2 linked regions of the Mus musculus genome follow. The protein of the gene in region 2 purifies or fractionates together with the protein of the main gene of each other region. This does not show direct contact. Links are inferred from orthologs where the notes say so. Each region holds a gene or a part of one and is shown on either strand. Other genes may lie near its edges.

Evidence for each region. Proteins that work in one complex are often made in the same cells at the same time.
Region 1: the proteins of Cbx5 (region 2) and Mbd1 purify together in Homo sapiens (affinity purification with western blotting; 3 studies listed by BioGRID and IntAct, with this or other methods). This does not show direct contact. The link is inferred for Mus musculus from reciprocal best matches to the Homo sapiens genes CBX5 and MBD1.

The regions. Positions count from the first base shown.
Region 1 is NC_000084.6:74,266,412-74,271,085, reverse strand, and holds the start of Mbd1 (methyl-CpG-binding domain protein 1), read right to left. Parts: upstream 2,912-4,674; 5' UTR 2,653-2,911; intron 1,684-2,652; 5' UTR 1,658-1,683; coding exon 1,548-1,657; intron 1-1,547. UniProt on the Homo sapiens protein: Transcriptional repressor that binds CpG islands in promoters where the DNA is methylated at position 5 of cytosine within CpG dinucleotides. Binding is abolished by the presence of 7-mG that is produced by DNA damage by methylmethanesulfonate (MMS).
Region 2 is NC_000081.6:103,205,301-103,209,266, forward strand, and holds part of Cbx5 (chromobox protein homolog 5), read right to left. Parts: intron 379-3,966; coding exon 192-378; intron 1-191. UniProt on the Homo sapiens protein: Component of heterochromatin that recognizes and binds histone H3 tails methylated at 'Lys-9' (H3K9me), leading to epigenetic repression. In contrast, it is excluded from chromatin when 'Tyr-41' of histone H3 is phosphorylated (H3Y41ph).

The DNA of each region.
Region 1 (4,674 bases), on a different chromosome or scaffold from region 2:
AGTGAAAATTTTTAATAGCTCCATCAATAACACCATGCTTATAAACTTCAATGTTGATACATTTACAGTCAATTTTCACTATATATATTAATTACGTATTATGAAGTTGCTACAAACCCTGAATTTTTGAAACAAGGACCACTGTGCCTACAGGAGACACAGGTGGGTTCCAGCAAGCCTGTCACATTTTCAAGCAACTGATCAATTGTCCTCTGTTTTATGAGTCTCTGCTTAAAAACACTGGTTTCGTACAAATGACTCCATGATTGTTAATGACTAAGAGCCAATGGCTTTAGAGGATGTTTTATCTAGGTTTGTCTGCTAATGTTTTGTTGTTTTCCTGAAGACACCTGCTGTACAGAACATATACCGTAAGTACAGTGTTTCTCCACCACATCATCTTCTGAGACACACAGGCCAGCCAGCACCAGCTGAGAGGGTTCCATTTCCCTAATGATGGCTGATACATTTTTGGCTTTCCCTGTAACGATGCTGGTACTGTGCTTTACTGTAAGGCCATTGGTTCACGGCTACCTTAACAACTTCTCTGAAGCTTCATCAAGCACTATAGATGGTAATTTCTTGTTTTTTAACAAAAATCTCAATCATTCGATTTTACCATTGAAGACTTGGGAGCCCGATAGCTCAGAGAGGCAGAGAAAGCACCCAGTTGACCTTCCTCCTCTGCTGACAGCCCAGCAAGCTTTTCCCACTCACACAAAATCCCTTCTTCAAACTGAAAGTCCCTCCCTTCTACTTCCTGTGCATCTCTCTATCCACCCTCATGACTACCTCTTATTCTCTATGATATTTTAATTATCTTATGTTCACTTCCTGTCAACTGGTTGCTTGTTCTGCCTCTTGACCTAAGTTTGAGCCACACCACAGCTACAAACAAGACTTTTTTCCTAGTAGGTCTAATCAGTCTCAGGGGGTTCACAGTGTGACTAAATAGCCTACAACAATTTCTGTTCTTTCCAGAGCAGCCTCACACACATCTCAGCAAGTTTGTTCTTCTTGTTCTGGATGGACCAGTTCTAATTTTTGAACACAGCAACTCAACCAGACAGCACTGCAATTCATGTGTGGAAGAAAAGCTTATCTGACAAGGAGGAAAGAAAATCTTCTCGTGCTCAGAACACTAGAAAATAATTCAGCACTTTATTTGGGAGTCATTTTAAACAACACATTTGCCAACAAAAATATGGCTCTAAAGAGACAGTAGAAAGAATGACCAGTTTACAGAACCAGAGAGAGAGAGAGAGAGAGAGTTCTTGTTTAACTTTGATTCCGAATACACGCACTAGACAATTCAAATTCTTAGCTGTTCCATGTTTGTCTGTGAATAATCACAAATGCACCGTGAATATTGACTTTGACCAAATTAAATCAACTTTATTAGGAATACATGATTAAGAAAACACAAAACTTGTAATAAGGACTATGTGCACAATTTTAACTCCATCCATAGATTTAAACACACCCCTTTGCTCTAATTACTAACAAGGTCCAACGCCACTGAACATTGCCCAGAGCACACCCGTTACCTCTGGTAATAGATGTCTGAGCGTCCAAACGAGGCCCCTGACTTTCGAAAGGACTCTCGGCGTTTCCAGCCAGGGCCCAGGGCTGGGCAGTCCTGCCAGGACTCAGCCATAGATGCTTCAGGGACAGAACAGAAGCCTGCAAGATTGAAAGAAAGTAGAGTATAGGGGAGAGTGGCAAAGTATTTCCAGGCCACAAAAGCAACCTGTTTCTCCCTCTTTGTTCTCCTCCAAACATGCATATCACCCTTCCTCAGTCTGAGAAGACTCGGTCCTCCTATTCTGGGTAAGAGGTCCCTAATTCTCTGGTCCTTGGGACCCTGCTTCAGTGTTCTAAGCACCCATTTAAACTTTCCTTGACCTGAGTTTCCAACGTCTCCCGGTGTTCTAGCTGCATTTATGGATCAGAGCCCCCAACTCCTCCATACACTGGATCAAACATTACCACACATTCTTCCCATTCCTCAGGTTGGAAGCCTCCCTCTTAAGTTCAAGAGTTGGCCCCAGAGCTTATTTTCCCCTCATTATTCAGACCCACAACTCTTCTCCAGTCTCGGTCCCAAGCGTCTCTATTGCTCACCCCTACAGCCGGTGTTAGCTACTCTTTCTCTAACTGTATTACCATTCTCCATTCCTCTTATCATCTTGTGAAACTTCCTTTTCCCTCCACAGTGACCTGGCCTCCCAATTTCCTAGTTTTGTGTTCCAAGACAAGGCCTTCCCTCCCAACCATCGGACATTCTACTTCTTTTTGTCCACCAAGAGTGTCCAGTCCCTCATTATTCTAACTATTTCTCCCGTCTCGAGGCCTTATCTTTGCATGATCAGCTTTGGGACGCCATTTCTATCCTGTTTAACACGAAGACTCAATGACTCTCTGAACGTTCTCTCTCTTCTACTCCTCGCCATCCTAGTCCCAGAATCTAGACACCGCTGTCAATGCCCTGAGCCACATCCCTTCCTCTTCGGTCTTTCTGTCCAGTTACCCCAGTCCCCTCTTTAAACATTCAGAGGAAGTCATTCCTTCTCCGGAGGCGAGGGCCCCCGCTAGCGTTCCGAGCCTCCACAGCCTCCTCCCGAGCTGTCGCCACTCCCACGGCTGTCTCACCAGCTTGACACCAGGCCCGCAGCTTCCTCCGCTCTAGGCCCGTGGACCCATGAGAAGGATCCCACTAGCGCGACCGGCCCGTTCCACTCTTCTTCTCTTCCTCCTCCACCAGTGCCTCTTCCAAAACAGTCGCCTCTGCGGCGGTTGCTTACTCCCGGAACCGGAAACCAAATGCTTGCCTTTGGGGCTCCGACTAGGACCAGCCGCTGTGTGTACAGCCTGGTCACGCGTGCCCTCATTGGGGAGGCTCCGCGCCTGCGCACTGCGGCTTCACAGCGGCGCGCGGATTCCCGGGGATCTTCAGCGCCTGCGCACTGACAACACCCGCAGCCCGCCGGGTCTCGGTTGCCTGTGCGTCTGCGCGCCTCGGTGCACAGGCACCTCCACCTTCCCTGCTGCTCCGCTCCAAAGTCGCTCCGGACACAAGGGGGCGTGAATGGCCTGGCCGGCTCGGCCCACTCCGAATTTCGGTCTCCACAAATAGCAGGAGCACTGAACGACGAGGTTATGCCTGTCCACTTCCTTTTCCAGGAGACATTCCGCCTTTGTTCCTGTGACTGCCTTCTTCAGGATTGGTACCCGCTTCTTTGTGGAATAGGATCGCTGCACCCTGGCCAGGTTCCTTGCTTGGGAACCAAGGAGGAGGTGTGGTGTGCAAATGAAAGACCCCCGAAGGGAGACCCTCACTCAGCCGCGGACCCAAGAAGACACTGAGACCGAACTCAAAATGTAGAGGGCAAGATTTAATAAAGCAACAGCAAGAAAGCACATAGACCAGAGCTCTGGGGTCAAAGCTCATACACCTAGTATGGTGTAGAGGAGAATCGACCTCGAGCCAAATTTTTCACAGGCTTATATAAGAAAAACTCAAGGGGGGAGAGCGGGGCAGGGAAAGTACAAGTTTGCATAACTAAGGGGTTCTGCCAAGGGACAAGGGGTTCTGCCAAGGGAATTCTACGTAACTAAGGGGTCATGTCCTATTATTTGGCAATGTACCCGGTTCATTCTGAGGTTGTTCCAGGAGGCCCTTATCTCAAAAATGTTCTTGGAACAGTCTTTAGTTGGGAGGGTTCGAACTCTAGGATGAGGAGTTCAGGAATGCATTCTGGGGTGAAGAGTTCAGGAGTGTTCTGGGAACAATCTCTAGATGGGAGGGGTCGGGCTCTGGGGTGAGGAAGAGTTCAGTAATTTTTTATCTTTATTCTTCATCCCCCACTCCTTTTAGAAAACAGCTCTAATCTTAGAGCCAGTTTTCAACCTCTTGGAGGACCCGATATTGTTGCCTTAGTACCATAACATGTACTGCATTTATCCTTTCTCTAATAAAAGCTACCAACTTATTAAGGATGCAGGGGCCAAAAGTAAGCAAAAGCATAAGTGTAATTAAAGGTCCTGCTATGGTGGAGAGGAGAGTGGTGAGCCAAGGGGACTTATTAAACCAGCTTTCGAACCATCCTTGTTGGCTTTCTCTTTCTCTTTTACGTATATCTAGGCGTTCTCTAAGTTTGGCCATAGAATCTTTGATTACTCCTGAATGGTCAACATAAAAACAACATTCTTCTTTTAGGGCAGCACAGAGTCCTCCTTCTTTAAGGAATAATAAGTCTAATCCCCTTCTATTTTGTAGCACCACTTCGGACAGGGAAGTTAAAGATTCTTCTAATTTGGTTATAGACTGTTCTATAGTTCTAAGATCAACATCCATAGCTGCACGTAGTTCTTCATAGTATTGGGGGGTCTTAATTAAGGCAGCGGTTCCTGTACCTACTCCAGCCGCTACTCCCAATCCTAATAGAACTGCCAAAGTTAAGGTAACGGGTTCTCTTCTCCAGCGGACCCGATGCTCAAATTTGTCTAAAAAGGAGCTATCATCATGATACAGGAGTCTAGGAATAAGCTGAACTAAAATGCAGAAATCTTTGGAACTATTAAAAACAGACATAGACACACAAGGAGTGAGACCGGTATTGCAAGCCCACACTGTGTCTGGGGGGGCACTAGATACTGACCACTTTTGCTAGA
Region 2 (3,966 bases):
TTTTCACACTTTAAATACAATTACCACTACTAGTTCTCACTCAGCCAGAAGGGGTCACTGTAGCTAATCAACACACTTCCCTGCAAGCTTTTGTTTAACAATATACCTTAAGGTCCATCCTTAGAAGAGAAAACCTAAACCCCGTTTGCACAGCAGGAGCAAGAGGACAGTGACAGGAGCAGGAAGCTCACCTCTCTCTTTTTTTTAGATTTAATATCATCAGCGCTGTTGGAGAAACTGGATTTCCTCTTGTTTCCTTCTGATTTCTCCCTGGGCTTATTGTTTTCACCCTCCTTCATCTTCTTATACTTTTTCATAAACTCAGAAATTAGTTCAGGACAATCCAAGTTCTTCTCAGGTTCCCAAGTATTGTGCTCCCTGGACAAAAATAAAGACAAAAGGAAAGAATGAGGGATAGGATAATGCCCTGTTTTCACCCACTTCCCATCTCGGCAGAACTGGCGAGTGTTTGCAAACTACATCCTTAGCTTAGCTGTTTTCATTGCGAAGGGTTGTTGTAAGGAGGACATGTGAGGGAAGGACAGGAAATCTATACTTAGGGTATAGTTCAATGGTAAGGCGCTAGCATATGCAGTGCCATAGGCTTGAGCTGCAGCTCTGCAGAGAAAAAGAAATCCAACAAATTTAATCTTCAATATTCACAGAAGAGACGTGGGAAAAAGTATGTTCATAAAAGTCATGTAAAGAACTATTATAGCAGCAGTATTTTTTTCAGGACTGAGGATCAAACCCTAAACCAGGATTTTATATCTGCTCCACCACAGAGAGTACAGCCCTATAGCAACATTTTAGTAGCCAAACCCTAAAACAAACCTGAACAGTCACCAACTGATGAATGGATGAACAAAAATATGATGCAACTGTATAATGGAATAGTATTAAGCAACAAAAAGAAACAAAATACATTGAGAAAAATCTCAAAAACAGTATACTGAGTTTGTAAGAAAACATACGCTTTCTTTCTGTTTCCGTTTCTCTGACATACCCTGGCAAGATATATTTTAGATTAAACTGAAGAAATGTTCTGTAATGGACACACAGTAACAAGCCAGACCAATCTCAGCGTTCAAAGCTAGTCTGGTCTACAGAATAGTTTCCAGAACAGCCAGAGCTACAAGGAGAGAAACCTTGTCTCAAAAATACAAGACAATGCTGGGCATGGTGGCGCACACCTTTAATTCCAGCACTTGGGAGGCAGAGGCAGGCAGATTTCTGAGTTCGAGGCCAGCCTGGTCTACAAAGTGAGTTCCAGGACAGCCAGGGCTATACAGAGAAACCCTGTCTCGAAAAACCAAACTAAACCAAACAAAACAGAACAAAACAAAACGAAAAACAAGACAAGCTGGGTAGGTAGTGCACGCCTTTAATCCCAGCACTTGAGAGGCAGAGGCAGGTGGATTTCTGAGTTCAAGGCCAGCTTGGTCTACAGACCCTGTCTCGAAAAAACAAAACAAACAACAACAAATAAGACAAAACCCTTGTCTCAAAGAACAAAACAAGAAACATCACATTGTACAATTTCAATGGATATGGGTGGCTCTTTTACTATTTTTTATTTTTTTGAGAGTGAGTGCGGTCCTAAACCTCATTCTGTGGACTGAACCCAAACTCAAGATACCTGCCTGCCTCTGCTTACCAAATGCTGGGGTTAAAAGCCAGTGTTGGGACTAAAGGCATGTGCCACCACTGCCTAGAGTAGTTGACTCTTAAGGCACATAAATTATAGTTTAATAAACCCATTTAAAACTACCAATTTGGGGGTTGGAGAGATGATTCAGTAGTTAAGAGTGCTTGTTATTCTTGCAGAGGACCTGAACATGGGTAATTCCAATTCCAGTGAATCTAATGCCCTCTGGCCTCCACAGGTACCTGCAAAGTATTCATACTACCCGCCCTCCCCAGACACAGACAAACACTCACACAATTAGCAGGTGGTGGTAGTCACCTTTAATCCCAACAAGGGAGAGGCCAGCCTGATCTACAGATCAAGTTCCATGGCAGCCAGGATCACAAAGAGAAACTGCCTTTTTTTTTTTGGTTTTTCAAGACAGGGTCTCTGTGTAGCCCTGGCTGTCCTGGAACTCACTCTGTAGACCAGAATGGCCTTGAACTCAGAAATCCACCGGCTTCTGACTCCCAAGTCAGAATACTGGGATTAAAGGCATGTGCCACCACTGCCCAACTGCCGTTTTTTGTTTTGTTTTGTTTTGTTTTGTTTTGTTTGGTTTTTCAAGACAGGGTTTCCTCTGTGTAGCCCTGGCTGTCCTGGCACTCACTTTGTAGACCAGGCTGTCCTTGAACTCAGAAATCCACCTGCCTCTGCCTCCCTAGTGCTGGGATTAAAGGGCGCCACCACGCCCGGCTCCAACTGCCTTTTTAAAAACAAAACAAAAACACCCCCAAACAAAACAAGCCCCCCCCCCAATTGAATCTTTAAAAAAAACAAAACAAACCCAGTCTAGAAGTTGGGTATATAGCTCAGTGGTAAAGGTGCTTGTCCAGTTGTAAGCAAGGCTCCATGGCATTAATCCCTAGCATATCTTCTCTCCATGAAAAAAGGCCGCCTATTTTTATTTTATTTTTACTCAGGATCTGTGGCTGGCCTGGAACTTTGCTAGGTAGATCAAGATGACCTCTAACAGAGAATCAATGGTCTCTACTTCTCAGAGTGCTGAAATTAATGGTACATGCCACAATACTCAGCTTCTCTTTGAGTTTAAAGACAGTCTTACTATGTAGCTCAGGCTGGTCTTGAACTCTCTGAAATTCTTTTGTTTCAGCCTTCCAAATACCTAGAGTACAGAATGAACCAACATGTAAGCCTCTGAGGGTTTTTTTTTTTTTTTGGTTTTTTTGAGACAGGGTTTCTCTGTGTAGCCCTGGCTGTCCTGGAACTCACTCTGTAGACCAGGCTGGCCTCGAACTCAGAAATCCGCCTGCCTCTGCCTCCTAAGTGCTGGAATTAAAGGCATGCGCCACCACGCCCGGCTGCCTCTGAGTTTTTATATTCTCAAAGTTGACCTCCAAATTTTCTATTTGTGGGCTGGAGAGATGGCTCACCGGTTAAGAGTACTGACTGCTCTTCCAGAGGTCCTGAGTTCAATTCCCAGCAACCACAAGGTGGCTCATAACCATCTGTAATGGGATCCGATGCCCTCTTCTGGTGTGTCTAAAGACAGCAACAGTGTACTCACATGTATAAAATAAATAAATCTTTAAAAAATTTTTTCTATTTGTAGCACAGGTTTTAGAAAACTAAAACTACAAAGATCTAATGGAGCTCTGAGTCCAGACTTAAGACACATGGGACACTGTCTCAAATATCAACAACAGAAACAATAACAAACAAAAAAACTAAGAAAAAATAAATGCTATGGATGGGAAGACAGACTGATCCCTGAGGCCCATTAGCCAGCAAGCCAATGTGTATCAATGAACACAAGAAAGACATCTGGCAGGGCAGTGGTGGTGCACACCTGGGAGGCAGAGGTAGGCAGCTTTTTGAGTTCAAGGTCAGCCTGGTCTACAAAGTGAGTTCCAGGACAGCCAGGGGTACACAGAGAAACCCTATCTTGAAAAACAAAACAAAACACAAAAGATCTAATGGAAATATACCAAATGTACCTGCACAGAAAAAACTGTACTACCATCCCTTTCCCTACTGAGAGGCAAAGCTCTGTTAGAGCGCAGGCACTGGGTTTTTCGTGTTTGTTTGTGTCTATCACACCTGTAACCTGTAATGAACCACAAAAGCAAAATATAAAGTCAATAAGCGATGAAAACAGCATCTATCATCTGCAGTTAGTTTGAGGGAGAGTTGTTGACATTAAATCTAGCTAGGGTCTTATAGCCCAGCAGTGCTGGCCTATAAGAGTTCCAGAGGGAGACCAAGACTTTACTGTCACTGTGTGACATTTTGGATCAAGAGTCTGTAGAGGCCGGGTG